4 linked regions of the Notamacropus eugenii genome follow. The protein of the gene in region 3 purifies or fractionates together with the protein of the main gene of each other region. This does not show direct contact. Links are inferred from orthologs where the notes say so. Each region holds a gene or a part of one and is shown on either strand. Other genes may lie near its edges.

Region 1 (7,368 bases), on a different chromosome or scaffold from region 3:
AAATCCTCAACACCAAAGTCCTTGGCATTGTCAACATCAGAAATGGATAGGATCACCAGTAGAAATGGCATGAAAGAATATATATTATCATCTGCTTCACATAAGGACCATAGGACCCTTCCATCTGAGTTGTAGTTGAAACCTCCAATAGGTATTTCTCATACATTAGAAGGTGAACTCGAGTAGGGACTGCCTTGCTTTTCTATTTGAATCCATAGCCCTCATCACAGTGCTTTGCACATATTAAGTGCTTAATTAATGTATCTTCATTCATTTATTTATTCATACAGTTTATGATTAAAGCCACAGAGAATAAATTCATCAAAGGAGAGAAATGGACCCTAGAACAGAGCCATGAGGAACAGGGGACATGAAATGAACGATGGATCAGGAAGGGAGAGAGCTATGGTTAGAAGAATAATGAAAGAGTAGTGTTAGGAAAGACCAGAGAAAAGTACAGGAAGAGATGTGAGTTCATTGTCAGAGGTGACTTGACACAAGGCAGAGGGTTATAGTCCAGAGGTTTTGGCTTCAAGGTAGCAGTCCATCAAGCCCTCAAAAGTGGTAAAGATGGTATGGAGTATGCTATGTTGTACATCCAGCTCTTCCTATTACTATTTCCATATTTTTCATGGGAATTCATATGAAAACCTGCTATGGTGGAAGGGAATATTAGAAATGGGAACAAATGAATAGGATGGTCACAACTATTTCTTCTTGGTGAAAATGTTTCTAAGGCAGAAGATATATTTTAACCTATAAACACATTATATTTACCCTTTCCAAAATTTGACCTCTCTCAGTATTTCCTGGGATTTCAGAATGAAATTCCAGACATTTGATTCCTTTGTGGTTCAATAGTTAAGAATAATCAGTGAGACTGAGCACTTGTTCTACTACTTATTAGCTACGTAATGATGAATAAGTAATCTAACCTCTAAGGATACCACTGTCTTTACTGTAAAATGAGGAAGAAGTTTGATTTAGATCCATTTAGGTCCCATAAGTCTGAGTGGCATTGTGGCTTAATGAATAGTGTGTTAGACTTAGAATCCCGAAGACTTGGGTTTGACTCCTATTTCTGTTATTCAGCTTTGCGAACCTAAGCCACTTAACCTGAGTCTGTTTCCTCATCTGTAAAGTGGGGATAATTCCTGTAGTATCTTTTTTTTTTTTTAAATTAATTTATTTTTAGTTTTCAACATTCACTTCCGTAAGTTTAAAATTTTCTCCCCTTCCCTCCTCAAGATAGTATGTAATGTGATATGGCTCCTGTAGCATCTATCTTACAAGATTGCTGTGAGGCTCAAATGAGATAATCTACTACACTTTGCAAAACTTACAGCACTATAAAAATGACATTTTAAAAAAATGGCCATTACTATGAACTCCAGAGTACCTGGAACAAGATGAGAATCTTTAAGAAGTCCCTTTCACAAATAGTTGACATAGTTTCATCAAGAACAGGTCATGCCAGAATAACCTCATTTCCTTTTTTGATAGGGTTACTAGACTGGTAGATCAGGGGAATGTTGTAGATACAGCATTCTTAGATATTAGCTTCACTTTTTATAGTAGCAAAGAAATGGAAACAAAGCAGATGCTCATGCATTTAGGAAAAGCTAACTAAACTGTGGTACATGAATGTAACCGAATATTACTTTGCTGTAAAAAGCAATAAACACGAGAGAAGCATGGGAAGACATGAACTGATGAAAAACTGGAGCAGAACCAGGGAAACATATGACTACAATAATTCAAAATGGAGAGAACAAAAGCAGCAGAACTGAATGCCCAAAGGGATATAAGAATATACCTCCTGTTATTCTTTGCATAGGTAGGGGACTATGCCTATGGAACATTATATAGTGTCAGATTTTTTCCAAGATGTTGGTTAGTTTTGTTGAATTAATTGCCATCCCTCTCATATTATTCTTATTATAAGGGATGGCTCTCTGGGAAAAGGAGAAGGGAGCCATGTATTGAGAAATGTTGGTGATAAAGTTATCAATTGAAATTTATTTGAAAACTTGAAAAAAAACATGAAGAATACATGGAGAAAACAAACTGATGAAGAGTAAAGGAAGCAGACAAGAATATACGATGATTATAACTTAAAGGGAAAGAATAAAAATAATTGAAACAAAAAGCTGTGACACTACAATGCCGAAACTTGGCCTCAGTGAATGAATGAAAAAGTATTTATTTATTACTTGCTGTACACCAAGCACTGGGTGTACAAAGAGAAAAATCAGTAAGGTCTCTGCTCTCTGGGAGCTCACACTCTACTTGGGGGATATTACACATAAAAGAAAGTTCATTCCTAAGGGTGCATCAGGCAGTGGAATGGCAAAGCTCAGAGGTCCTTAGGCTACATCTGTAGGTCAGAGGACAGCACTAGAGGTCTTGGAAGCATACCCAGTGATCCTCCATCTCACCATAAGAAATAGGATTGGTGACTTTCACCAAGGCTGCGTGAGCAGCCAAGTGGCTGGGATGGGATCTGGACGATCTGAGTCAGAGTACGGAAGCAAAGAGAAATCAAGCGGCAAAGCAGAGAAAGTACCAGGCTACTCCCTCCCCCCCCTTTGAAAACAGAAGTGGAAACCATGAGTGTGGACACCTGTACACCTTGAACCTGGTATGTCGGTTAGTTTTGTTGAAATGCTTTTTTTCTTAAAAAAAAATTCTTTGTTATAAAGTATAACTCTCCAGGAGGAGGGTGGAGAGTTATAGCAGGAATGCAGATAATATAAAAATATCAATAAAAATGTTTTCAAGTACATGACCATTCAACAAATAGGATTCTATTAAGAATTTTACCCCTGATATGAGTGCAGTGATTGGCTTTGTTTTCTCTATGTGTCTTGTTTCCAAAGGAAGTTTAAACTTTGGGAAATTCCCTGTCCCTCCAGAATGGCCTGTCAGGGCTGGGCCTGTTATTCAGCATAAAACGTTGACTATTCTAAGAGTCCACAGAATATTTGCTGAATGCATAATTCTTCATCATCGCCTGAATCCCAGAGCTGAACACACAGTAGGGGCGCCACAGTGATTTATTTACCTGCCTATGGCTGGTTTCGTTTATTGTTAAAGCATCCTAGATATGGCAACTTCCCGTCTATCTGGGGTTCTCCAATGCCAAAGAAAGATCCTTCTCGTTACCTGAGTACAAGCTAACGCACAATAGCTTAGCTGGGCACCGGGGAGAGGAAAGATTGGGATGAAATACAAAACACAGCCCGTGGCCTCCAGGAGGGTGCGGTCCGGTAGGGGTGCAAGACTCCGGAGTAAAGAGCCCTACTAACTTCCCATCAGATCAATGGGACTGGAGACGGCCTTCAGGAAGCCACGTGAGCAGCTAGGTGGCTGGAAGGGGGTCTGGACGGTCTGGGACAGAGAAGGAGCAGGGGCGGGGGAGAAAGCAGCCCGCCCCCCTATGGTGAGGAGCGGACGCCGAAGGGCAGCTTGAACAGAGGGGGCCCGCGGGGGGGGGGGGGGGTGTTTATCCAGCGCTCTGAGGCCTGCACACCATTCTCACCACACAGGCACGCAGGCTCTCCTCGGAGGAGCCCCGCGGCGGGTGGGGCTGAATTCAAGACTGACTCGTTCAGGGTCGCACAACTACTGCATTTGAACTCGGGACTTCGAGGCTCCACGCCCACCTACGGAAGCGAGTGCCGTGGGCCGGTCCCCGCAGCTTCCCCTTGGCACTCTCCCCGACCCCGCTACCAGCCCGCGGCCCCCGGCCCCCGGCGGGGCCTCTCCCCACGTTCTCGGGTGCAGTCGCTAAGGCTCGGCACGTGCGACCATAAACATGGAGGAAGCCCCTCTCCCGCTGGCAGGGTGCGAGGAGACCCGCAACATGGCGCCGAACAGGACGCCTCCCCGCCTCCACCTCGGGGAGCGACGTCAGCGGCGTCCTTTGCGTCTCCGCCTCACGTTCGGCGCAAGCACGCTCGCACGCACGGGCTGGGCGGGGGTTTAAAAAAAAAAGGCCGCGGGAGCGCGCCGGGGGGAGGGAGAGGAAGGTCGCCGGCGGGGGCGCGCGCGTCGCGAGGAGGAAGGAGAGGAGGGGAGGCGCGGCGGCGGCGGCGGCGGCGGCGGCGGCGGGAGCGCGCGCGGCTCCGGGAGGCGGCGGCGGCGGCGGCGGCGGCGGCGGCGGCGGCGGCGGCGGCGGCGGCGGCGGCGGCGGCGGCGGCGGCGAGGGCGGTGCTCGCTCGCTCGGCGGCTGGTCTCGAGCTCCGAGGAGGCGGAGGCGGAGGAGGAGGCGGTGGCTCTCGACCTGGGGTTGGTTGGGAGGGCGGGTGGGGGGTGGTGGGAAATCTGCTCCGCTCCGGGCTTGATCGCGGGGCCCGCCCCCTTTCCCCCCACCCACCCTGCCCCGCTGCTTGGAGTTGGTGGCCGGGAGGCTCGGACCCGGGGCTCGGCGGCCCAGCCTCAGCCTTGAGGAGGAAGAGGAAGGCAGGGGCCGGGGCCGAGGCGGGGGGCGGACTCGGACGGGCTGTGGCGGATTCTTCCCCCCCACCTCCCCGGTCGCGGGCAGGAGATGTCGAACCCCGGGACTCGGAGAAACGGCTCCAGCATCAAGATCCGGCTGACAGGTACGGGCGCGCGGGGGAGCGGGGGAGCCGGGGTTGGGGGGGCCCGGAGGGGAGGGGGCCCCCGGAGGGGCGGGGGGGGGCGGCCCCGCCGGACCCGCACCCCCGGGCCTCGGCGGGTCGTGCGCTGCGTGGGGTCCCCGGCATCCCCGGGCGGCCCGCGCCGTGGCTCCCCTCCCCTCCCCCGCCTCGGTGCTGGCAGCTGCACAAGTCCTGGCTCCTCGATTCACTCGCGTTTCTTCAATGAAATTTCCCTGTTTCCCCCGTCAGCTCCGTAGTGATCCCCATAGGGGTGAATGGGGAAGCCCTGGGGTGCGCATGCGCTGTTGCGGGGAGGGGGCGGGGTGGTGCCGGCGTCGGGGTGGAGGGGGGCGGTGTGTGGTGCGGACGGTGTCTGCCGCTGGCGGCCGTGTCTCCCCGGCGGGCTCCAGACATCCTGCGTCCAGTGTCCGGCCCCGGCATCCCTCCTCCCCCACCCCCGCGCTCCCCTCTCGGCACGCCGCAGGCCTGGGGTTCTTAACGCGGGATCGTTACTCCGCAAACAGATTTCTGCCGGGGGACTTTCCAAGCCAGAAGTTCTGTCCGATCCTGGCAGGAGTTTCCCCCTCTTGGTCTTTCTTCTGGTCTGTGGCACACGAAAGAAAAGCCCTCCAGTCTGTATTTGTCCAGTTCCTGTCAAAGGAGTGTGATTTAACCCCCCCCCCCCCCCCAAAAGAGGGAGGATCGAGACGAACGCCTAGCGTGGTTAGGGCATTTAAAAGTATTTGTAAAAAACATCTGTAGGTGATTTTTTTTAAAACCATATGTTCTCTTTGAAAACCCACTGTTGCCTGTTGTAGGATCTGTTTCCTGTTTAAATAAAAGGACTTGTGAGTTCTGTTTACAAAGCTGACAGAATAATGAATTATTAATGATTCAGGCCCAGACTGGGGTTTTGTAAGGCAACAGGTGTATCCTCCTGGATCTTTGTTCTTGGAGGAGCCATTATGCTGCACTCAGGCTAGGAGGTAAAGCACTTCTTCATATTTTTAAGTTGAGTTGTTTTTATGGGTGCGTAAAATGTCATGTTTTTGACGTTATAATACTTGTAAAGTTTAATTACAAGACAACTTTAATTTGCTTCCCAGTTACAACGCAATCTATTATAGCCATCAGATCAGTTACTCTTTTACTGTTAAGTGCATGTGTGTGTTTTGTTAGAAATGTAGTTGGGTTAGAGTTTTTGTTTCTGAAATAAACGTTTTACTTTTTTGCATTTGTTGAGCGTTTTTATGAATTGTGGCTGATGATCTTTGATTTGTACTTCTCTTTCCCACCCCCAAAGTATAAGAGAGAACAGGATTTGTCTTTCTGTTCACCCCACCCTTTCACCCCCATATACTGGTCTGTTCAGGAGTTTAAATGTGATAGCTGCAGAAATACTTTTAAGAGCTTATGGATGGCATTTGATATTAAAGGATTAAATGATCAGTATTCTTTCCAAAGTGCTTTCCCCCTCCTCACTCCCTGCCTAAATTGCTGAATACCTAATGGATTTGAGTCAATCTATGAATGTAATTGTTCTTGAAACGGGAATTGAGAGCTTAGTAAGAGTTGTGTAACAGACATGATGGCAGTTGTCTGTTGAACATTAACCCGTGTGAAAAAGTTGCAACTAAAGAGTGTGAAAATAAAATTGGTTTTAGTCTATTCTTAAAGTTAAGAAGTTTGAAATTTTTTCACTTCTGATTTATTGTGCATCTTGATACATTAAATGTTTTTGATAAAGAAGATTGCTTAGTTACTGCAGTGACATTTGAAAATATAGATTTTAGAGAGGTTTTTGTTAGTAAATAACATGCAGCATAATTAAATACAGACTATGAAGACATTAGTGTTTGAAAAGATATTTAGGACTTTTGACTGCAGAATTTTATGGTAAATGGAAAGTGTTTTGAACCAGAAGTGAAGGAGATGTTAATTCTAGCCCCAGGCCTAGACCACCTTTGTGACTTCTTTGGGCTTCATTTTCTTCTTCTGCACAATAAGGACATTGGACTAGACTGGTGGTGCTTAACTTTTTCTGATTTACCCTTTAGGAGTCTGTTGAAAACTATGAGATCCCTTTTCAGAAGAATGTTTTTTAAAACTGCATAGTATTACAAAGGAAGCAATTATATTGAAATAGTCATCAGTATTTTTTAAAGACGTTTATGAAGCATACATTAGGAATACCTAAATTAGACTGATATTCAAGGTAGTTTTCTGGCCCTAATAGTCACATTGTTACCTATTCTAAATTACTAGTGTATATGCGTTTTTGGTTATTAAATTCCATGCTCTCTAGCTAAGCTTTAAGAGAGAAAACTACACGATAACTTTTGGGACATGCAGAAAACTTTGACTTAAAGTAAGATATCTCAAATTTGACTTATGATAAACATAATTAAGTCTAGTGACAATTTCTAACCATTTTTGCCATGATAGTGAAATTTCTCAGTCTTGTATTTTTGAAATTGATTGTATAAATCCATTGTATGATGAATTTGCCTTCAAGGCATAATTTATAAATGTGTCCTGAATATTAGTGGATATCTTAATCCTTCATTTTTAGATAAAGATTGAAATAAATGCTGCCATAATTATGTTAGTTTGAAATAGTTTATAGAGGTTTCAGTAGTTCATTGAATATATTTGATACAAAATACTTGAATAATTGTGTGTTTCAAAGCATTTTGCAAATACCTTTCCCAGTTAAATTATCTCCTTGTAGTCAGGGATTGTTTTT
Region 2 (7,923 bases), on a different chromosome or scaffold from region 3:
GAGGACCATGACATTAAGGAGGTGATGCCATAACATGCAAATGAACTGGATTTAAACGACAGAGGCCTCTGCAAAGTCACCAGCCTCATTTTCTCCTCCAGAGCCATCTGGGTCCAGTGGCAAGATATAGATCAGGACAACTTGAGATGGCCCTGGATGTTGTTGGAGATATTGGTTTTCTTAAACTACTTCACTCAAAATTCAATTTAGTGATGGATGATAACATTAAGGGTGTAGGAAGAGGAGTCAATAGAGAAGCAGAGAAAGGTAGATCAAAAAGGTAGAACTAGAGAGGGCAGAGTCACATAAGACAAGGTATAAAACAGCCTTAAAAGTTTCAGAATAGTCAGGTAGAATGAGGAGAAAAGATCATTGTTTGGCAATTAATTGGTAGTGACCTTTAAAAGGGTAATTTCAATAGCGTAGTAGAAACCAAGGCCAAATTACACTAAGTTGAAGAATGTGTAGATGGGGAGACGTAGAGGCAGGGAAGGTAGAATACTCTTTCCAGAAGTATGGCCTTGAGCGGGTACTATATGCTTTAGAGTGGATGAAAGCAAAATAGGAGTTAATCATGCTTGCCTTAATGTTAATATTATACTATTGGGGATGATAACAAGGTGTTAAACTAACTGTAAAAATTCAGACTAAGCCAAGTGATTCCTTTATGAGGTACAAATAAGTACCTGAGTGAATCAGAAGGGAGCAATTATACTGGAGAATTAGGAGTCATACCCCAGGGTGACTCTTAAAAGACATAGTCCAGTTAGTCTGAGGTACTTCAGGCTTTCTGATGGCTGCAGTGGACAGAAAGTTGGGCTTGGAGTCACAAAGATTTGAGTTCAAATCAGGCCCCTGTCTGCCTCAGTTTTCTCAACTGTAAAATGAGGATAATTACAGTACTTACCTTATAGGATTATTGTTGAGGATTAAGTAAGATAATATTTGTAAGTGTTTAGAATTGTGCCTTATACACGCTTAATAATTATTTGTTCCCTTCCCTTTTCCCTTCTTGATAGCAAGATTGCTTGGAGTATAAGGAGTATCAGTACAAAAGCCATGTTAATAATCTGTAAAGATCACATATAGCTAAGGATACTAACTCAACCAGCTCAGGGTTGACTGAGTGTTCATGCCTTTTACTACTAAGAAACCTCACTGGAAGGGTAAGTTCACTCTTATGTCATAAAATTTCCTCTGAGCCCTTGCAGCACACAGGCCACCTTCCATTTCTCCAACGAACCACTGAACCATTCAGGGCAATCTAAATGGATGTCTTCATATACCCTCTCTCTAGGACAAGCAGATTAACCTTCCCAAAGACTACAACTCTAAGGTGGTAATCCTTTATCTCCTTTTCCCCTTGGGCTCCCTAATGGAAGCTCAAAACCTCTCCCCAGAAAAGTCTGTTTACTTTTCTATATTTTAAATATTAAAAGAGAAGAGGAAAAGAGATCTAACATTGAGATGGGTGCTATCTCCTCTGGCTGGTAGCACCTAGTCATAAATACTAGCGAGTTATAAATCCTTACATCCTTTCCCAGAACAGATTGGGAAACCCATCTACACAAGGCCAATAGGAGGAATAAAGGAAGTAAATAGGAGTGGTTGAACAATCTTAACTCAACACTGCTATAACTCTCTATGTTTTCTTTTTCTTCCTAGTTTTGAATAAATTTTAGTTTTAAAGTATGTTTTTCTTCAGTATATATTTTTATAAACTTCAGCTCATTTGAGGATTTTAGCCTTCCAGACTCTAATCATAAGCAGTTACCGCTCTTTAGTAATTTTATTTATGTGTCCCTATCGTTCTAGTTAATTTCTGAGAAAGCAAAAGTGACAGGATCTCTTGAGGAAACAAGGACAGGATTAATTTCCACATCTTCAACACAGTGAAAATTGTCCATCTTTTGGCATACTTTTTCTTGGAACTCAGAAGGAGGAAGCTCTTGGGCCATATAAAGACTTATCTGAAACTGTTTATCCTCCTTCTCAAAGAGGACCATGACATCAGAGAAATGATGACATGATGTGCACTTGACTTTGTTTTAAGTGAGAGAGGGCTTGCAAGGTCACCAGCCTCACTTTCTCCTCCTGAGCCATCTGGATCCAATGACCAGATCTTCCTCAGGATGACTGGAGACAGCCCAGAATGCAATGGGAGACCTTGGCCTTTTAGGCTAAGGCCTTTTCAGTACTCACTTAGAGTGAGGTGATGCTCATTCAGTTGAATAGACCTGTATCTGAAACTACCTTCTTGCATTACACATAGAATCCTTGTCTTTCAGTTCAAAGGCAACTTACATAACAACTCCATGTTCAGTTTAACTTTTACCATAGTGGAAGATTTGAAGAAAGGTCTTCCGTGGTTCCAAGGCCAGCTCTCTAAACATTAATTATTGTTTGTCCTTTGTTCTCAAAGAGGACCATAGTATCAGGAAGGTGATGCCATGACTTGTAAGTGAACTGGATTTAAATGAGGGAGGGCTGTGCAAAGTCACCAGTCTCACTTTCTCCTCAGGATCCAACTAGAACCAGTGGCAAGAAATAATTCAGGATGACTGGTGATGGCCCCAGATGTAGTGGGAAACCTTGGTCTTTTTAAGCTAAGGGGTTTAACGGGTCTCAGTTTGACTGAGGAAATGCCCATCCAGTGAATAAGGCTAGGTAAGAAATGAGACAAAATATGGCCTCTTTTGCCTAATTAAAAAAAAAAATCAATCTGGGAAGGGAAGAACCTCAGGGTTTTTGACCAAAACAGAAACAAATTCTACTTACATTTACTCTGAACCAATCAGGACCCAAATAATGACCACTAAGTGGGGCCTGGGTTAGGACCTACTGTCAGCCAACCAATGAGAACCAGAGTGAATTGGGTTTAAGGTATGGTCATTAAGAAAGAAATCTAGCACCTAAATCCCAAGATATCTTCAGAGGTTTCAAGGATCAAAATTTATATTCCTTTGTGTAGAGTACCCAGAAGTGAGGGTATAATACCCAAAATGGACAGAGGGAAAAGGAAGAAGGGAAAAGAAGGGGAGAGGAAAACAAGAAAGGAGAGGGTAAGAGCTGTCTTGCTCAACTAGAACTGATCAGTTTGGTTCAGTGGGCAGCATGTACTATTCACAGTTTTGTCCTTCATTAGGAAGAGGATCATAGCACCAGGAAGGTGATGCTGTGACTTGCAAGTGAATTGCATTTAAATGAGGGAGGGCTGTTTAAAGTCACATAGAATCTTTTTTTTTTTAATTCAAAGGCAATTTATATAACAGCTCCATATTCAGTTTAACTTTTACAGTGGTGGGAAATTTGAACTCAGGTCTTCCTGGGTCCAAGGCCAGCTTTCTAATATACTAATATCGTAAAACTGAATCACATCTTTGTAAGGAAGAAAATAAATCCAAGAGCTTGGAAACATCCCATTAGACCTCACTTGCTTTGTAATGTAATAAAATAATGATAATAATACTAATCATGATAGCAAACATTTATATACTGCTTACTATTTGCCAGATCCTTTGATAAGTGCTTTACAAGTGGGGCTCAACCAGAGAATGCATTTTGCTGCCTCCAACAATCTTCTTATTTATCTATGCTAGCCAGACTCTAGTGCCTTTTTTGCACTGCTTTCATCATCCTGTTTGATGACCACTGGTCAGGAATGCTGGAATAAGGACTTGGCTGAATAAGATGGCTACTTGTGTCTTTTTCAAACGAAATTCTGTGATTCCATTACAAGTTATAAAATTTGCACAGTCACCTAGCCATGACATGGCACTAAAACATGCATATGTATCTCTGTTCCAGACATGGGATAGATACTATGTAGCTAAGGCAAGTTTGTAACTATTTTCCTCTCAACATGCAAAAACAATACATTTCTAGTCCCAAAGGTTCAGATTTAAATCCTCAGGGACCGGATGAAATGGTATTCAATTTAAAGGTTTTCCCTGAGAAAATATTTTTTGGCAGAAGCCCAGTTCTAAGTATTCTCTTGCAGTATTCAGGGGATGGAGAAAGCAAGAATCAGTGGTTTTCAGGGCAAACTTGCCGGTTGTTTACTCAGTGGAACAATGGTTTACCACCTTCAGAAAGTCCCTGGGGGAGAGGGGATGGTACGAGCTCAGGTTCAAGGCTCCTCTACTCCCAGAAATTCTTCACTCATAAAGTTCAACCCTGGACACCTGCTTCCAGAGGAGTAAATGACCAAAAAACGGTTTCTGCAATCTTCTCCGAATTATAACCACAATGAAATCAAAGCCTTTAAAAGATTCTCAAAATCAGATTCGTTTAATTCGCTAGCCTTTCAAAAATAAACAAGGCTGGGCATCTCAGACCCAGGGGTATTTTTCAAAAATGTGGATGGGGGGCTGGCAAAGGAAATTTGTGGGTTCCTTACAGTAGGTTGGGGGCCTGGCAGCCTTGACCTTAGAAAAGCAGGTTAGCTCTCGTCCAGAAACTCATCAGTCCTCCTTTTCTGATTCTTCCTTCTCCCTCCCCTTTCTCCTTCTCCCTCCTCTTTTTTCCTCTTCCTCCTTCTTTGGTAAAAGGCCCCGGCTGGGGAAGTAACGTTTTCTTGCATTAAAAAGACAGAAAAAAGCTAAGGTCATCCATGAAGGGAAGGAGAAAGTGTCCGGGCTACGGGAGACAAAGAGAGCCGGGGCTGCCGGGCGGACCCTCCCCGTCCTCCTCTCGAGGGGGTCGGCCGAGCCCGGCGAGGGGGCGGCGGTCAAGGTGCTCTCGAAGGCGCAGCCCAGGGTCGGGCGCCGGAGTCCGCGCACGCCCCCCCAAGCCGAGCCAGCCCCCTCCCCGGAGATGCGCGCGCCGACCGTCCGCGCGCTCCCCCCCTCCCCGCCGCCGCACCTTACGTGGGCCCTTCCCGCTCAGGTGAGTCCTTCCCACGCCTCCCATTGGCCCAGGCGCCGCCGGCTCGGGAAGGCCAACGCCGACGGGTCTAGTTCAGGGTCTAGGGTGGGCGCGTCACTTCCGGTAGCGCGGAGCTTGTAAAACACCCAAGAGAGAAGATGGCGGCTGCAGCGGCGGCTTCGGCGGCTCAGCAGCTCTCGGATGAGGAGCTCTTCTCTCAGCTCCGCCGTTACGGCCTGTCTCCCGGCCCGGTGACGGAGAGCACCCGGCCCGTCTACCTGAAGAAGCTGAAGAAGCTCCGCGAGGAGGAGCAGCAGCAGCCGCCGGCGCCGCCGCAGGAGCAGCAGCCGCCGCCGCACCGGACCGGGGCCCGCAGCGCCAAGACGCGGAACAGCAACAACAATAACACGGCGGCCGCGGGGGCGCCGCCGGGGGCGGGGGCGGGGGCGGCCGCCGCCGGCGCGGGGGGCAGGCCGCCGCCGGGCGACCTCTCGTACCTGCGGACCTCGGCGGCGCTCGGCCGCGGCTCGGCCTCGGCCCCCGATAACCCGCCCGGAGCCGCGGCCGCCCCCGCCCTGGCCGGCGCCGGCGGCGGCAGCAAGGTGCTGCTGGGCTTCAGCTCGGACGAGTCGGACGCCGAGGCCAGCCCCCGGGACCAGGCCAGCGGCGGCAGGAAGGAGCGGGCGGCCCTGCAGTCCCGCGGCGGACTCAAGCCCGCGCCCCTGGCCGACGGCGAGGCGGGCCCCGGCCAGCCCGCCGAGAGGAGGAAGCCGCACGCGTGGTGGGGGGCCCGGAGAGCCGCGGCCGGCCCGGACCCCCTGGGGCCGCCGGGGAGAGAGGGCGCGCCGGAGGACGCAGAGGAGGGAGCGGACGGCGGCGGCGAGAGGGAGCCGGAGGGCGAGGAGCTGCGCTGGAGCAGCCGGCCCGTGAACGGCAGCCGGCTCCTCCCCTTCAGCTGCCGGGAGAACTACTCGGACTCGGAGGAGGAGGAGGAGCAGGACAACGTGGCCGTCGCCCGGCCGCTCTTCAGGGACGACTCGCTGCTCCGGTCCCGGCCCAGGCGCGGCCACGGCAAGCCCCCCGCGGGCTCTCGAGGGGAGGCCTCGCACCCCGCGGCGGCCGGCGGCGGCTGCCCGGGAAATGACAGGGCCGCCGGCGGTCTAGACCGGAGGCGAGGTCCGGAGGAGGGAGGGGGAGGCGACCCGCTGGACTGCAGCCCCATTCCCAGATACCGCCTGACCTCCAAGAAACAGCCCCCACTCCTGCCCTCGACCCTCCCCGACGGGGATCTGGCCCTGGATCGCAAAACTAACAACCACATCGGTCGGGGGGGTTTCCACTTGGACCCCTCCAGGGTCTACGCCAACAGCCTCCCGCACAACCCTCTGATGGGCTCAGCCTCCTCCCCCTCGCTCAGGATCAATCACTCCAATCACACGGGCTCCAATCATACCTACCTGAAAAACACCTACAACAAGCATAAGCTTTCAGAACCGGAGGAGGAACTTCTCCAGCAATTTAAACGGGAGGAGGTGTCCACCACGGGTGGCTTCAGTGCCCACTATTTATCCATGTTTCTCTTGACTGCTGCCTGCTTGTTTTTCCTGATACTTGGGCTCACCTACCTCGGCATGAGAGGTACTGGAGTGTCTGAGGACGGGGCACTCAACAGTAAGTATTGGTCAGTGAGTAAGACCTCCCTTTCCCCTGCCCCAGTAACCCATTTTGTAGTGGGGGCATCTTGGGATAATGGAAAGGGAGTTATTGGCCTTGGAGGCAGCCTGGGTGACTTAACTTCTCAGAGCGAGGTACATGTGGGAGGAAGGTGCTGATCTGCCTTGGCTGACAGAATTTCCTTCACCAGGAGTTCCGTGCACCAGTGAAATTCACAGGTCCAGGCCCTAATTCCTAAACATATTGTAATTGTCATTTTACTTTAGGTGACTCTTGGATCAGAAACAAGGTTTGAAGTTGTGAACATCAAGTTGTTTGTCAAACGTTATATTTATCTTACAGCCTGCCATTGGAATGTGTTAACTTGTTTGGGTTTGAAAATTCTTTATCTACAGATTATGCAGGAGGTCCAAAACACCCCAGAAGAAGAGCAGAGTCACCTACACGATATAAGTAGTATATTCAGTGGTATAATGGAAAGAACAATGGATTTGGAGTAAAAAAAAAAAATCTGAGTTTAAATTTAGGTTATGCTTTTTGCTTCCTGTGTGATCCATGGGTGAGTCAGGTAACCTCTCTGACCCTCAGTTTTCTTGTCTCTGAGATGAGAGGTTGGACTCTGACTTTTAAGGACCTTTCCAACTTTAAATCTGCTTTCTGTTTTGAACTGTAATATACCTGCTTTTGGTAGATGGAATTTTAAAAATAATTGGCAAGTGTGTCTTACTTTGTGGAGCATCTTATTTATCCCGAAAACTTCCTCTCAGATTGAGACATCAGTGCTCTTTTAAATGTATTAAACATGAGATTCACTAATATGAAAAATAATACTTTAATGGAGAATAGAAACAGCATACCCACCTATGTGAATTTCTGGAGTTAAGAATGCATCCCCTCCTCACCTGGGATGAGTGCTGTTGATAAATACAGTTACAGTCATTTGCTTTTTATAATGAGATTTTTGGCTCTTACACTAAGCAGTTACTATAGTATGATTTATGCTCATTCTAAGTAGCTCTGAGAGCATAATTTCTGGCTCTTTAGCAGGGTGATTAGTGAGGCTTTTTTGGAGATGTGGTGAATCATTTCCCCTGTACATTGTCCAGAAAAATTACTAGCAAATCTTATATTGGGTTATAGGATCATAAATTTAGAGCTGGAAGGGACCTTGGTGGTTATTAGTCTGCTCCCTCATTTTACAAATTAAGAACTAAGGAAGGCCCAGAAAGGTTCAGGGTTACACAGCCTCTGATTTCCAATCCAGCACTCTTTTTGCATGCTCTGAAAGATTAGTGCTTGACTTAGAAACATTTAGATGTTGTTCCCCAAACTGTCAACAGTAATTGACTTCTGCTGTGGTATTTTGGAAGTCAATTCAACGAT
Region 3 (7,297 bases):
ACCAGGAAAGCTGTAAAGGGTTATGTGACTAAGAGGTAATTGATGACTTTTGAGAAAAGAATTTTCCGTGAAATAGTGAGAGCAAAAGGGTTGTAAGGGGTTTAGGTGAAAATTAACTCAACAGGGTATGACCAAAACCAGGTAAACTTCATGTCACTATCCCCAGTGAGGAAGTCCATTTTGGCCTAAAATCTTCAGTCACTAATTCCCAGTAGCACAGGCTAGCAGTCAATGACCTTGTTTTAGATCACCAACTTTAGGTATTTAAAAGATTATACAACTGGAAGGGACCTTAAGATCATTTCATCTACCTCTTTTAACCCACAGAAGAGGAAACTCAAGGCCCAGAAGAGTAAGGCATGCATATAGAGCAAACAAGGAAGACCCAGGCACACTTTAGTGTCTGTACAAGATTATTTTTTTTCTATGCAGCATGGCTGATATGAAAATGTGTTTAATAAGAATGTATGTGTAGAACCCATATAAGATTGCATGCTTTTTGGGGAAGGAAGGGGAGAAAATTTAAAACTTATGGAAGTGATCATTAAAAACTGAAAACAAATAAATAAATTTGAAAAAAATTTACTATTTTATATCTCCTTTTTACAGTTTGTACACAAATGATACAAGGTCTAGTTATAAATATGTAATTTTTAAAACAAAATTTAATTTTAAAATTGTTGGTTTTGTTTCTTTAGGTTGTATGATGAATTTTTAAAAGTTTTTTTAAGTGAGTCCAATAACATTCAAAAAAATGTTAGCCTTAAAAACACAATAAAAGCCCCAGGTGCATGTCCTAGTTAAATGGGCTACTCATACATAGCTGATCTGTAGAGAGTCTACTGAGTCTCAGGCTGGTGATCTTTTACTGTATACATTTCCTCCTCATCTATAAGATGAGGAGCTTGTTTTAAATGCTCTCTACCACGCCTTCCAATTCTAACATTTCCTGTTTCTTCTCTTTCTTATGGATGTACATCTTCTCACATCCATGGCATCCATAGTGATACGCTAATAATAACTAATAGTTAAAATTGATATAGTGCTTACTATATGGCAGGCATTATGCTAAGAACTTTACAGTCATCTCATTTGGTCCTCAGAGTCAACACTGCAAGGTTCGTACTATCCTTATCCCTATTCTACAGATGAGGAAATTGAGGCAAACAGACATGAAGTGGCATGCCTACAGTCACACAACTAGTAAGTGTCCGAATTTTATTTTGAACTCAGGTCTTCCTGACTCCAGGCCTAGGACTCTATCCACCGAATCACCTAGCTAGCCCTAGAGATCAAAGATGGAATCTAACTTGATTTCTAGCCCAGGGGTGGGAACTTCAAGGCCACATGTGGCCCTCTGGGTCTTCAAGGGAGTACCTTTGACTGAATACAAACTTCACAGAACAATTCCCCTTAATAAAAGGATTTGTTCTGCAAAACTTGGACTCAGTCAAAGGAACCCAAGGACCTAGAAAGTCACATGTGGTCTCAAGGCCACAGGTTCCCCACTCCTGAGCTAGCCTGACCCTAAGCACAGAGCTAATATGAGTCAGACAAAAATGTTAATGGATGATATTAACCTGTTCTCGGGACAAACCTGAGGCTTCCAGAGACTTCTTCTTTAGGGCCCTCAATCATCATGGGCCAAATACCACCTGTAGGTCTCATGGCTAGAGTTTCTTGATTTCTTCTCAACAGCCAAACAAATCTGTTGCCTCTTCCTGCAAATATGACTTACACATTCCCACTTGTCTTGGCTTATGCCTTCCTCCATGCTGTAATGTCCTTTCCTTGTGCCTCTTGGATTCCTTTTCATTCTTTAAAACTCAGCTTGAGTGTCATCTTCCATCCACAAAGCTGTCTCAGGTAAGAGTGATCTCCCTCCTTTCTCTGAACTTCAGCAACTCCCATTTGTCTGTAACACTCATCGGTCCTGTATCATAAAGTACAGTGACTTTCACAAATGTGCTTACTAAATGCTTTTTCCATTCATTTGTTAGCTGTCTTCATATGGATATCCTTTGTCTCCCTAACGAGATTGCCTGTTCCTAGAAGAAAGGACCCACATGTGGGACATTTTTGGATACCTCCTGGAACTTGAGCGCAGGGCTCACTCTTGCATTTCATGCTTAATCAATGTCTTTCCCTTCCCCCCACAAGTATTTATTATGTGAATTTATTTTATTAGAACATTGTTTGTTCAATTAATGTTACTGTGAATAATGGCCAATTAAAAGGTGGAAACTGAGGTACATGGCTATTTTAGTGTTTTTGCCAACCGCATGGAGATGTTTTTTTGGCTGCTTGTTTCATGGCTAAATTCCTATGTTACAATGTTGACACTGGATTGAACTGAGGGATAAACATGAAACAATATTAACAGTTTCACTACATTTACTGCTTTTGCAAATGCTTTCCTCAGGCAATCAATTTCATTCTCACACAGCCTGGAGGCAGGGTTTATTATCCCCATTTTGCAGACTGGGAAAACCAAGGGTTGGAGAATAGATTTTCAGAAATTCATGTGGTTTTAGAGCTGGGACACACTTTGAAGATTATCTAACCCAACTCCCTCATTTTATAGATGTGAAAACTGAGTTTATCCAAGGCCAAGAGTACAATTTAGTCCTAGGAGTAGAAACCCAGTTGTTCTGACCTCTAGCTCAGGACTTTCCCCCCACTAAACCACAGCTGGGGCAGTGTTGACGTTAGGAAAGAGCTGAGAGTAGAGAGAAATAACCCAGAGCAACAGTAGCCTAACTAACAAGCATGTGTTAAGTCATCCACCGTGAGACCTCAGGAACCCCTGGAGCTGGTTAGCTGGCTATGTGGATTCTGCTCTCCTCCAGGCTTCGTGGCTCTGCACCCTCTTCAGGTTTCCTAGATAACTTCTCCCCCCCCCCCCCCCCAAGGATTTCCTGCTATAAAAAACATGCAAAGGCACTTGATGTGTTTGTGTGTGGGAGTTGATGGGGGGGGGGGCAGTCAGGGGGAAGCCAAGGAGACTAGGGTGCAATCTCAAGTCTATGCTTTTAATTTTGAACCTTGAATTCTGTGCTCCAGATCTTCTTCTATCAATTTCTTGTTCCCTTTAGCGTTGTCTTTCCAGTTCTCTGTTCATTTCTCATTTAATATAACTCTGAAAACCTAAATTTCCAGGGATTTCCCTCCCTAGATCTGGACACACGCTACTTTGGGACTCAAAACTCAAGAGCACTGACTTTGGAGTCAAAGGGACTGGATTCTAAACTCAGCTGGACTTGGTTGTTAGACCTTGAGCAAATTACTATCTTTCCGGGACCCTCAGTTTCCTACTCTGTAAACCCAAAAGACTTGGATGATTTCCAAGGTCCTTCAAGGTCTCACCCATTCAATTTAGACAGGTAAAAAGTGTAAGCATATACCTCTGTTTTCTGACTGCTCCATCCTAATTCCCACCTTTGAGGGATCTTTGAGACTCTGGGGATTTAAAATCAGGTCTCGAAGGGCAGATCGCAGTGCCACCTCTCCCCCATTTTTCTCGCGCCGCCCCCCCCCCCCCAACAAAACAAAACAGTTCGAAACGCTGGCTACATTTTACAGAGAATAAAAGAGAAATAGCTCGAACACAACTAGACTGCTTTAACTGGAGTAATGAGGGTCTGTCCGTGGGTCTGCTTTGGGGGACAGGAGGACAGGGCAGTCAGTGTGTGTGCGCAAATGCGCACCCCCGACACCCAGGTTCAGAAGGACCCTAGAGCGTTCTTCAACCGTAAGGACGCAACTTTAAAAACAAAAGTTTTCTCAAGTTGGTTCTCCCTGGGAAAGTAAAGGGGCCACGGTGCAGCCCCCGCTTTTTGTCCATTCTCCTCCGTTTCTCGGGGAGCTCCTGCATGTCATCAGGTGGCCCAAGAGCGAGGGACGTTGCAGGAAAAAGCAAGGGGGAAGCTGTGGGGGTGCGCAGGCTACGGCTTTCCCTGGGGAGAGCCGCCCCGCAGCACCCACGCCCACGGGGGGGGGGGGTGTTTGGCGTGGGCCCCAGGGCTGATCTCTTTCCTCTGGGAGCAGGGGGCGGAGCGGGCGCCACCGCGGAGGCCAGCCTGGAGTGCGGGCTGGGGGGCACGGAGGAAGGACGACGGGGCGGCGCGTTTGGGGGCGGCGAGGAGGGAGCCCCGGCGGGCGAGGGGGCGGTGACAGGCGCTTGGAAGGGAGGCTGCACGCCGATTTGCATGAGAGACAGACTGGGATCGGGGCGGGAGCCTGAGCGCACACACCGAGGCCTGGAGGGAAGTAGGGGAAGGGGCGGGAGGGGGCGAAAGGAATCGGGGAGCGCGGGGGGAGGCCGCGAAGGCGGAGGGATCCGTACATCCCGGCGAGCCCGCAGCGCAAACTTGGCTTCGTGGGCTGGCCTTTTCTTCCCAGAGGCGGCACCCAACAGCCGCCCCGTGCGGAAACACAAACTTTTCTCTGCTCTCGCCGCCGCCGTGCTTTCGTGGCCCTTTCGCACCCCCACCGCCCGGACTCTCGGCTCCCTTCGTCCCTCCTTCCCTCTTCCCCTTGAGTGCACCGGGAGGGGGAGGAGGAGGAGGGCGGCGGAGCCGAGGCCACCGCGGGCCCGGAGGTTGGCGGTGCCGAGGTCCCGGAGGAAAGTTCGCCGGGAGTCCGGCAGGGAGTTGGAGCGGAGTTTGGCCGGCCGCGGCCGGGCTCCCAGCCTTCTCTGTGTGCCTGCCTGCCTCCCCCTTCGGGGGGAGCCCCCTTCTGCCCCCCTCCACCATGTCTTCCATCCTGCCCTTCACCCCCCCGATCGTAAAGCGCCTACTGGGCTGGAAAAAAGGCGAGCAGAACGGGCAGGAGGAGAAGTGGTGCGAAAAGGCGGTGAAGAGCCTGGTGAAGAAGCTCAAGAAGACGGGGCAGCTGGATGAGCTGGAGAAGGCGATCACCACCCAGAACATCAACACCAAATGCATCACCATCCCCAGGTGAGGACGGGGTGCCCGCGCCGGAGCGGGAGCAGGGCACGGGCACCAGCACTGGCACGGGCGGCGGCTGCTTCTCACTGCCGGGCCTGGCCCGGCTGTGTGTGTTTGAAACGGGGAAAAGTGGGCGCGATCGAGGGCTCGGCGGCGAGTGTGAGTGTGTGTGTGCGTGTGTGTGTGTGTGTGTGTGTGTCTGTGTGTCTGTGTGTGTGTATGTGTCTGGGCAGGAGGGGGGGCGGGGGCAAGGTACCCAAACAAAACCTTTACAAAGATGGAAACTCTAGGATTTCCACGCGGCCCAGACCAGCCCGGGAGGGAGGAATTGGGGGACCAGTGGCGGGCGAGATGGACTGGGGTCCTGGATGGCTTGTGGAGCGTGGGGCTTTCTCTCCCGGGTGGCAGGAGGGCGGGGGTGGGTGCGTGCGGGCTGGAAGTTTGTTTGGGGCTCCGGCTTTGTTTCGCGCCCCTCCCCTCCGCAGCAGCGCTGAGCGATCCCGGCCTCGGCTCCCCGTCCTAGTAGAAGTGGTTCTGTCCGTCGGTCTGTCTCTTCCTCCCCTCATTTTTCTTTCCCTTCCGTCTTTTCTTCCCCTCTCCGCCGGCTCCCTCCCCCCCTCCCCCCAGGAATGCAGTCCGCACAGCGAAGGGAGGGCCTCCCCGGGCTGGGGTTGTGGGTGAGAAGCCTGGCCCCGTGTGATTGACAGATTCCTTCTCTTTCGCTCTCTTTGCATTTGGGATTCGTTTTTTTCAGGAGTATTTTTAGATTCAGTCCTGCCAGTTTGTGCCCTCCCCACCCCCCACACCCCCTCCGCTCCTGCACACGTACGGCTCAGATTATAATGCACTGACTTTCTAGAAGAAGGGAATACTTAGTATTGAACTTGTTTCTTTCTCTCCCCAAACTCTCCGCACTCACAGGGAAGACCAAGGGGCACCGGCAGTAGCCAGTCCTCGGGAGGGTGGTGTCTGTGTTTCTTTTTTTTTTTTTTTAAGTAGGATTCAGGGTGATGCAGAACTGTTTAGCACCCTGTGGAAGTGGAGTAGTTCTGATGACAAAGATGCCTACAAAAGCAGGCCTCAGCCAGTCTCATGCATTCCTACGGTGTCTTTATTTCTAAAGCACCTTCCCATCTGTTTATTCTCTACTATGCTCACAGCATCCCTAGGAGGGGAAGATGGGGAGGGTTTCACAGATGGCTTATAGAAAGGGTCAGTGACTTGCTCTGACTCCCTTGAGGCTGAACTCAGTGTATTTATTTTGGTAAATTGGAGGGGGAGGGTGGGTGGAGGTGGAGGAAGAATTCAAAGAGAAGGGAGCCTTTTACCCACTGCCTCTCCATCCCCTTTCTAGGGTCCATTCTGTTCTGAAGGAACTCTGGGAATTTGCTGTTGACTGGGTCTCCCCAGGGCTTTGATTTAATCCAGGTTACCTGGGCTTCCTTGGGCTTGACCAGCAGAGGACTCCAGTGTCCACATCGGTTCAGGGCCACTCAGCCCCAAGGATGTATCCTCTCACACCACCACCTGCCTTGGAGCAGCTGTGAAGGAGAATCACAGTGCCTGGGTATTTATCCCAAGCTGTCTTAACACTGGGGTCAGCCTTCACAATGCTGCATCTGTTCATGAGAAGCAACCCTCATTTGGAAATACCGATGAAGTTCATACTTTGACTGTTTTTTTAGACAAATATAGTCAGTAAGGAGAGAAAGAGGATATACTGTCTGTAGACCTTAGGTCTAGGGGCCAGCAGTGATTGAATGAACAGGTAGGTATGGTTTGATAACAGGCAAAACCTGAGTTTCAGTCCCAGGTTCTGTTATCTCCAGGACTCCTGGGTAATTACTTCTCCAGGAAGATTGATGGTACTCACCCACTCACCTGATTAGGATGTGTCTAAGCTTCTGCTGTAAGTGTAGAGGCTGGAAGAGATGCTTACAAAATACTGTGTTTCTTAATTGAAGCATTAAGGATTCCTAGAAAGTAACAATTTATGTAGCTTGTTGTCATTGAACTTTTGGGATCTGCAACCACCCTCCCCTACTGATTTTCCCTTGCCACTGTGAGAAGTTATTACCTGACTAATACTTGCTGTCACAGACTCAGGAAAACCGCATATTGCAACTGACTATCTAAACAAGACTGTTACTGGGACATCAGGTGTCCCAATAATGGTTGTGGGCAGAAAATTAAAAATGGAGGTAATTGGCTACAGGCTTAATCATAGCAGCGTGTCTGCCATAGCCCTGCATTAACCTGAATCTGCATGCAACTTGTCAAATTGTCTAGGGCAGAGGGGTTCTTAATCTAGAGTCTATAACCTTTTTGGGGGAGGTGGGGGGCTGTAT
Region 4 (6,964 bases), on a different chromosome or scaffold from region 3:
GTATTCCATTACATTCATATACCACAACTTGTTCAGCCATTCCCCAGTTGATGGGCATCCCCTCGATTTCCAGTTCTTGGCCACCACAAAAAGAACTGCTATAAATATTTTTGTACATGTGTGTCCTTTTCCCAATTTTATGATCTCTTTAGGATACAGACCTAGTGGTGGTATTGCGGGGTCAAAGGGTATGCACATTTTTATAGCCCTTTGGGCATAGTTCCAAATTGCTCTCCAAAATGATTGGATCAATTCACAACTCCACCAACAATGCATTAGTGTTCCAATTTTCCCACATCTTCTCCAGCATTTATAATTTTCTTGATTTGTCATGTTATCCAATCTGATAAGTGTGGTGTGATACCTAAGAGTTAATTTGATTTGCACTTCTCTAATCAATAGTGATTTAGAGCATTTTTTCATATGATGATAGATAGGTTTAATTTCTTCCTCTGTAAACTGCCTTTGACCATTTATCAATTGGGTAGATTTGATAATCTTAAAGAACAAATTTGGTTCTGAATCTATGACCCTATGAATATATGGAAGCCTCCTGATGTAATGGAAGGAACATTGGCCATAGAGTCAGAAGGCTTGGGTTCAAATTCTTATTGTCTATATGACTCGGGGCAAGTCATTTCCTCCTTTCTGAGATTCAATATTCTTTTCTATAAGTTAAATTTGGACTTGAGGACCTTTAAGATTCTTTGCAGAATTATATGGTTCCATGAGTGGCATGAATAGCAATCAGGTGACCAGGATTCTAGTTCTAATTTTCTCAGTAAATCTCATCTTTTCTTGTTTCTTCAATCTGTAAAATGAAGAAGTTAGACTTCAGTCCCTTCCCAGCTCTACCATCCTGTGTTCTAAGGGTCCTCCCAGCTCTGACATCCTGAGTTGTAAGGGTCCTCCCAGCTCTGACCTTGTGTATTCTATGATATGTAGTAATGTGTATACCTGAAGTACAGAGATAAGGTAAATAGTTCCCTTCTAGGTTCCATCCATAGCATTGTATCCATATGAAGGTAAGCTCCTTGTTTTAGACAGAAAGCTCTGCCCCTATGAGACCCCACTGTCGGCCAGGAAGCTTGGTTTGGGGCCTTCGTGTTAATTGCCTAATCTCCTGGAGTGACGGTACATGCCTGAGATGCTCCATCGATAGCACATGGAACACCCATCAATTTCTCAACCACATAATGACCCCCCTTCCTTTGGACGAGTAAGTAAACTTGGTATGTTTCAAATTTTCAGACACACCCATGGAAAATGGGGTCATTAAAGGGAAAAGGGGGGAGGGGAAGAAAAACCATAGACCTTTTTATGGTAAAGAATATGTTCTCTCTTTCATGTGGGGCCAGGAACCTCCTTGGAATGGAGCTGAGGAACAATAGTAGCCTTTGTAGACAATTGCACCAACTCTGGCCCATGGGCCCCTTTGGCCCAGGTTAGAGGGAGCTGGATGGGCACTTTCATGGAAAAATAGCTCCAACAGGGACTAGAGTTTCTGGAAGGGCTTTTGGCTGTATTCTGGCAATAGAGGGTGTCGGGAATGCCCATGATCCTGAGATGGCCACAGCTCAGGAGACGGGTGGCAAGTTCCAGGCTGGGGAAGGCCCTGGACAAGGGTCGGTGCTTGGGCTAACTGCTTCTGAGGGCCCTGCTGTGATGCCCGGTGCTCAGCCGGCCGACTAAGGTTCTGAAACACTCCTCCTCCCCTTCCCTCCTCCTCACCCCATTCTGGGGTTCCAACCTCTGGAAGCCAGTTAAAAGTGTGTGGTCATCAACAGCTGCACATTCTTATTGGGTTACATCACCAGCTGACAGTGCACATCGTAGGACTTGGAAACTGGCTTGTGGTGGGCAGGGGGTGGGCCAGGGGTAGTTAAGACCAAAAGTCAATTTGAAGAACATAGATGGCTTTCCTTTTTACTCTGAGGCTGGAGGAAGCCGTAGTATAGACTCCAGGCTAGACTTCTGACCTACCCATCCACCTCCCACCCCCAGGCCCTGGGTACATTACCACCTCCCATGTCAGCATCCTTTACCCTCCTCCTGATAACCCTGCTGCTCCTCACCCTCCCATGCCCCATCCTCAGGATTCCAATCTTCCCCTGGGCTAACTGTAAATTCATCATAGATCCATAGACCAATAATAGAACTGGAAGAGAATGTTAGAACTGAAATGGACCTTAGAACATAGCAAAGAAGCACTCATTTCTGGAACATTCACAGGCCAAGAAGTCCCCTGCCATGGGGTTCTTGTGCTTGGAGAACGCAGAAATAAGGAGCAGCTTCCCAGACCCAGACCCAGCTGGACAGACAACTCACCCAACCAGATGGTTCAGAGTCCGAGCATACGGGTGAGGTGTTCCATGGTATATACTGTCCTGCAAATATGTGTGTATATGGGGATTGGGTGGGGGTAGGGGAGCCAACAAAGCTTCTCCCTACAATGATAATCCAAGTCAGTGGAGAAACAAAGGCCAGCAGCCAAACCGGGTCACCAAGATCAGAGCCTGCCTACCAACAACTCTTACTATGTTGTTTAGTCATTTCAGGTGTTTCTGACTCCTCATAAGCCCATTTGGGGTTTTCTTGACAAAGATACTGGAGTGATGCATTTTCCAGACGAAGAAAATGAGCAAACAGGATTATGTGACTTGCCCAGGGTCACACAACTAGTAAGTGTCTGAGGCTGGATTTGAACTTAAGGAGATGAGACTTCTTGACTCTGGACCAGGTGCTCTGTGCACTGTGGCACCGCCTAGCTGCAGAGGATAGCAGAGTCTTGACCACAGTTTTGACATTGTTCCTTAATGAAGTCCTTCTGTCATTAACCACAAGTCCTTTTCAGCTGCTGCCTGTGAGTGCACCTAAGGTGCTCTGTTGATCCTTCCCCCATTCCAGTGTGCTTTCCTGATCCTCTTCCCCTCTGGCTCTTGTCACAAAATGTGTGCCCTTGTTAACTAGGACAAGAGGTAGGGGTAGGAATAGAGGAAGAGGAGGGGGAGTAAATGCTGACCCTCAACCTCCTCGGGATCTTCTTTGCCCACCAGTCAGAAGACCTTCAGGGTTCTCAAGTCACTCTGTTTAGTGAATTTCAGAAAGGAGATTGAGTTTATCTGGGCTCCAGTCTCACAACCTGAACTTTGTGGAGATCAGCCCAACTGGTGTGTTTCCACACCAGTCTTCTCCTTGTCCCCTTCCCACAATGCCACTGGAATACAACCTGGCTATCCATTTATTGTGTGTATAAGGAAGGCCCAGCCACTTTGCAAGAACTATGAATGGTGGAAGGGGGAAGGAAGGGAGGGGGAAGGACGGGACACCAGAGACCAGCCCTGAGCACTGTTTATATTGCGGCATATGCTTTGAATTTTTACTTAATACTAATTCATATAAAACCCCCGTCAAGAGCCACCCATCCACACATATGGAAGTGGTCTCACCAGTAACAATAGTCAGACGCAAAGGCCCAGGGTCGGCCCTGCTGGTGGGATGAGAGTTGCACCACAGACAAGTGGTGGGTGTGGGAGAAGGGCCAGTTCAAGGGAGAAAACCTCTTCGTGCCCAGGGATGATGACTTCCATCAACCAATTAGCTATCCACATTATTCTCAGCCCAGGCAGGAGGACACTGTCATTAATTAAAAGGGAGGATGAGAAAAAAATTCTCCTTAGCTCCACACCCCCTCTCCACCATGTTAACTGTTTTCAGAACAGAAAACTAACTGGGCCAACAGTATAGGCTGCTCTTTACCAACCAACACAGAAACTATCTTTTTCTTTTTTTTTCTTTCTTTCTTTTTTTTTTTTTCAAAAGAAGAAGGAGCCACAGTGAGATCCAAGGGCCAGGGTGACGTTTTGGGTCAGGTGACTCCCCCCGGGCCAATGAGCCCGTGTTGGGCTAAAGGCTTTTTCAGCCTGGGGAGCTGAGGTTGGCTTGACACTCTGAAGGCCTCTTCCCCAACCACAGAACCACAAGCTGGGAGTCCTCTGCCATCCCCAGGGGTACCTGAGTTGGGGGGAAGGTTGGCTTCTCTCCACACCCTCATCCCCACTCCCCTGCTCTGGGGAGGGGGGGACCTAGCCTTGCCTACACCTCTCATAGGTTGGGGAGGGGGTGTCGCTCTGTCTGCCTTTGGGGTAAGTTTCATTCATTCCTCTGAGCCCTGGCCCCCAGCCTGTCCTGCCCGCTCCTGCTGTGGGTCTCCCCCCTTGCTGCCCGCTGCTGCCTCTGCTCTCGCCCCTTCCATCACTAATGATAGTCTGCATATACTTCTGTTGAACACTCTGTGGCCAGACATTCCTGTGGGACTGAGAACCCAAATTCTTGGGTACAAATAGGCATTAGTTTCCTCTGGGATCTCTCTTTTTTTTTTTTGCTCTCTCTACTTTTTTTTCTTTCTTGTTGTCCCCCTCTCCTTCTTTCAAATTATTTTCAAAAGTAGCAGAAAAAAATAAAACACACACACACACACACACACACACACACACACACACACACACACACACACACACACACCAGTTCCAACCCAACCCCCTTCAAGGACTGAATTCTTGCCTTCCTCAGACCAGAGCATGGCGTCCAACAGTATCTTTGATTCCTTCACGACCTACTCGCAGCCCTTCATTCGCGGTGAGTAGAGAAATCCCTACGTAGTCACTGGCTACCCGATGCCCATTGCCCACTGCAGGGGCAGGGGTATAGGGGGAACTTTGGGGCGGGAGTGAGAAGCTGGGTTGGCTGGTGGGCATTTTTCTACCTTACGCTGGCTTTTCTGAAGGTGGTCCGCCACTGTTCCTTCCCAACTCAATCCCCTCCTTTCCCTACACTTCCTTCCCCCTACCCCTCACTGCCACCCCAAAGACAGGACAGTTGATTCTTGGAATGAATTTCTTCTGTTGAACATTGGGACCCTCCCCTTGGAGAATCTTCATAGATGACCTGAGAGATATTCTTAGCCTCTCTGTGGGGGTAGGGGGCCGCCTTTGTCCTCAGCCTATGGGGGCTGAGAGGGGCTAGGCCATGGCTGTTTGAAGGGTGGGTGGTGACTGCTCAGTATCTCAAAGACAATATTCCTGGAAGGGTTCCCCTGGCTAATTTGGGAGTAGGGGGAACCAGTGTCCCCTCACCCACTGACTGTGTTCACAAGACCCTTCACTTTGCTCTGGCTTTTGGGGCAAATGTTGTCCTGATCTGGCCAGAGAAAGAGGAGAAGGGAGCTTGGCCTCTGGGTTTACCTGCTAAGGACCATGAATGTCACAAACTGAGACTGGGGGACTGGATTTGGGCTTTCAGTGAAGCCCTCTGGAATATCCCAGGCCCAGTTCTAAACAAAGCAGGGATGGTGTGAGCTGTGAAGTCAGGTGATATTCCTAACATTTTCGTTTCAAGGATTATCATTCTCAGGGTAGGAAATAGGGAAAGGAAGACACCCAGCGACTAGCTGAGAATTCAGGTGGCTTCTTGCTTAGGTGGAAGGGTAAGAAAATAACTTCCCCTATGAGAGATCTGCGGTCTCTATTGCTGGGCAAGGAGAAGGTGTATTTCTATAGAAACTCTGTCCAGCATCTGCCGAGGGCAAGAGCAGCAAGGGGGCAAAGTTGCAAATATACATCTTGGAGCATGGTGGCCCAGGCTGACTCCTACCCTTGGGTTACCAGGATCCGACTGTTGGCTTCCCCAGAGCAGTCCACTGGACGGAGACCTACTGATGTTTCTGATGGACAAACCATCCTAGAGAGAGAGTCCTCTCACCTTACCATGCTCAACCATAGCTGCTAGTTTTCTCAGAAACTGTCAGAAGCTTAAATGATCACATTCAGAACCGTGTGTGTGTGTGTGTGTGTGTGTGTGTGTGTGTGTGTGTGTGTGTGTGTAATGTGAGGTTCTGGGGGAATGGGGATAGGCATACTGGCCCCTCATTGTACTGATCAATGTTATACAGGAAATAAGTCCATTCCAGGATCATAGAATGTCAGACCTGGAACTTGAGAACACAGAGTATCAGAACTGAGAGGAATCTTAGAACACAGACTGTCAGAGCTGGAAAGGATCTTAGAATCCAAAATGTCAGAGCTGGGAGGGTTCTTAAGACACAGAGTTAGAACTGGACCAGACCTCAGACCACTCGGCCCAACATCTTCATTTTACAGATGAGGAAACTGAACCTCTAGGAGGTTCTATGATTTGTCCAGTGTCTGTGTCCCAAAGGTGGAATTTGAACCCAGGACCTCAGACTCCAGAGCTCATGTTCTTTCTGTAACAGCATATAAGAAGAGACCCTAAATATAAAAGAGCTTAAGATATAGACTATTAGAACTGTACAAGATCTTTCATCTCTGTAAGATCTGTGGGACACGGATATTCAGAACTCAGAGCCCATCTAACTCAATTTCTTCATTTTATGGACAAAGGTATTAACTAGGGATGTTGTCCCAGCATACCCAGGGAAAGGGCATCAGAAGGGAGATTTGAACCCACATCCTCAGATTCAAGCTAGTGTTCTTTCTGCAATAACATTTTCAAAAGCACCTTCAAATGTAGAATGTCAGAGCAAGAAGGGACCTAAGGCTATAGAATGTTAGAACAGAATGTGAGATCTGGACCTTGAAAAAGAGACTATCCGAGCTGAGAAGAATTCAGCAAGTGGGGAAACTAAGGCTCTTTAGAGGAGGCTTTGGGAAACAGACTTTGTTGGCTAAGCTAAGACTTGGACTGTCTCCTGGTTGCCTAGCTAGTGTTCTTTATATTACAGTAGAAATCGCTAGTAGACTTGGGTCCACAAGAGTAGTGACTTGGAGGCCAGCTGGAGGTCACACTACCATTCCCTAGTTTGTCCATCTGTGTCCAACCAGCCTGCATTTCACTGAATCCAGTCATTTGGTCTTGTGAGTCAAATCCCAGACTCCATCTCTAGAAGCCAGGCCCAGGCAGGACAAGACTCTGGGGCCAGAGGAGA

The links.
Region 1: the proteins of SMAD3 (region 3) and SMURF1 purify together in Homo sapiens (affinity purification with western blotting; 3 studies listed by BioGRID). This does not show direct contact. The link is inferred for Notamacropus eugenii from reciprocal best matches to the Homo sapiens genes SMAD3 and SMURF1.
Region 2: the proteins of SMAD3 (region 3) and LEMD3 purify together in Homo sapiens (affinity purification with mass spectrometry; 3 studies listed by BioGRID and IntAct, counting the BioPlex papers as one, with this or other methods). This does not show direct contact. The link is inferred for Notamacropus eugenii from reciprocal best matches to the Homo sapiens genes SMAD3 and LEMD3.
Region 4: the proteins of SMAD3 (region 3) and RUNX3 purify together in Homo sapiens (affinity purification with western blotting; 3 studies listed by BioGRID). This does not show direct contact. The link is inferred for Notamacropus eugenii from reciprocal best matches to the Homo sapiens genes SMAD3 and RUNX3.

Annotation. Positions count from the first base shown.
Region 1 is NC_092874.1:380,144,723-380,152,090, forward strand, and holds the start of SMURF1 (E3 ubiquitin-protein ligase SMURF1), read left to right. Parts: upstream 1-4,360; 5' UTR 4,361-4,549; coding exon 4,550-4,604; intron 4,605-7,368. UniProt on the Homo sapiens protein: E3 ubiquitin-protein ligase that acts as a negative regulator of BMP signaling pathway. Mediates ubiquitination and degradation of SMAD1 and SMAD5, 2 receptor-regulated SMADs specific for the BMP pathway.
Region 2 is NC_092874.1:241,937,668-241,945,590, forward strand, and holds the start of LEMD3 (inner nuclear membrane protein Man1), read left to right. Parts: upstream 1-4,920; 5' UTR 4,921-5,024; coding exon 5,025-6,537; intron 6,538-7,923.
Region 3 is NC_092872.1:129,940,988-129,948,284, forward strand, and holds the start of SMAD3 (mothers against decapentaplegic homolog 3), read left to right. Parts: upstream 1-4,296; 5' UTR 4,297-4,752; coding exon 4,753-4,958; intron 4,959-7,297. UniProt on the Homo sapiens protein: Receptor-regulated SMAD (R-SMAD) that is an intracellular signal transducer and transcriptional modulator activated by TGF-beta (transforming growth factor) and activin type 1 receptor kinases.
Region 4 is NC_092876.1:65,622,412-65,629,375, reverse strand, and holds the start of RUNX3 (runt-related transcription factor 3), read left to right. Parts: upstream 1-3,956; 5' UTR 3,957-4,580; coding exon 4,581-4,638; intron 4,639-6,964. UniProt on the Homo sapiens protein: Forms the heterodimeric complex core-binding factor (CBF) with CBFB.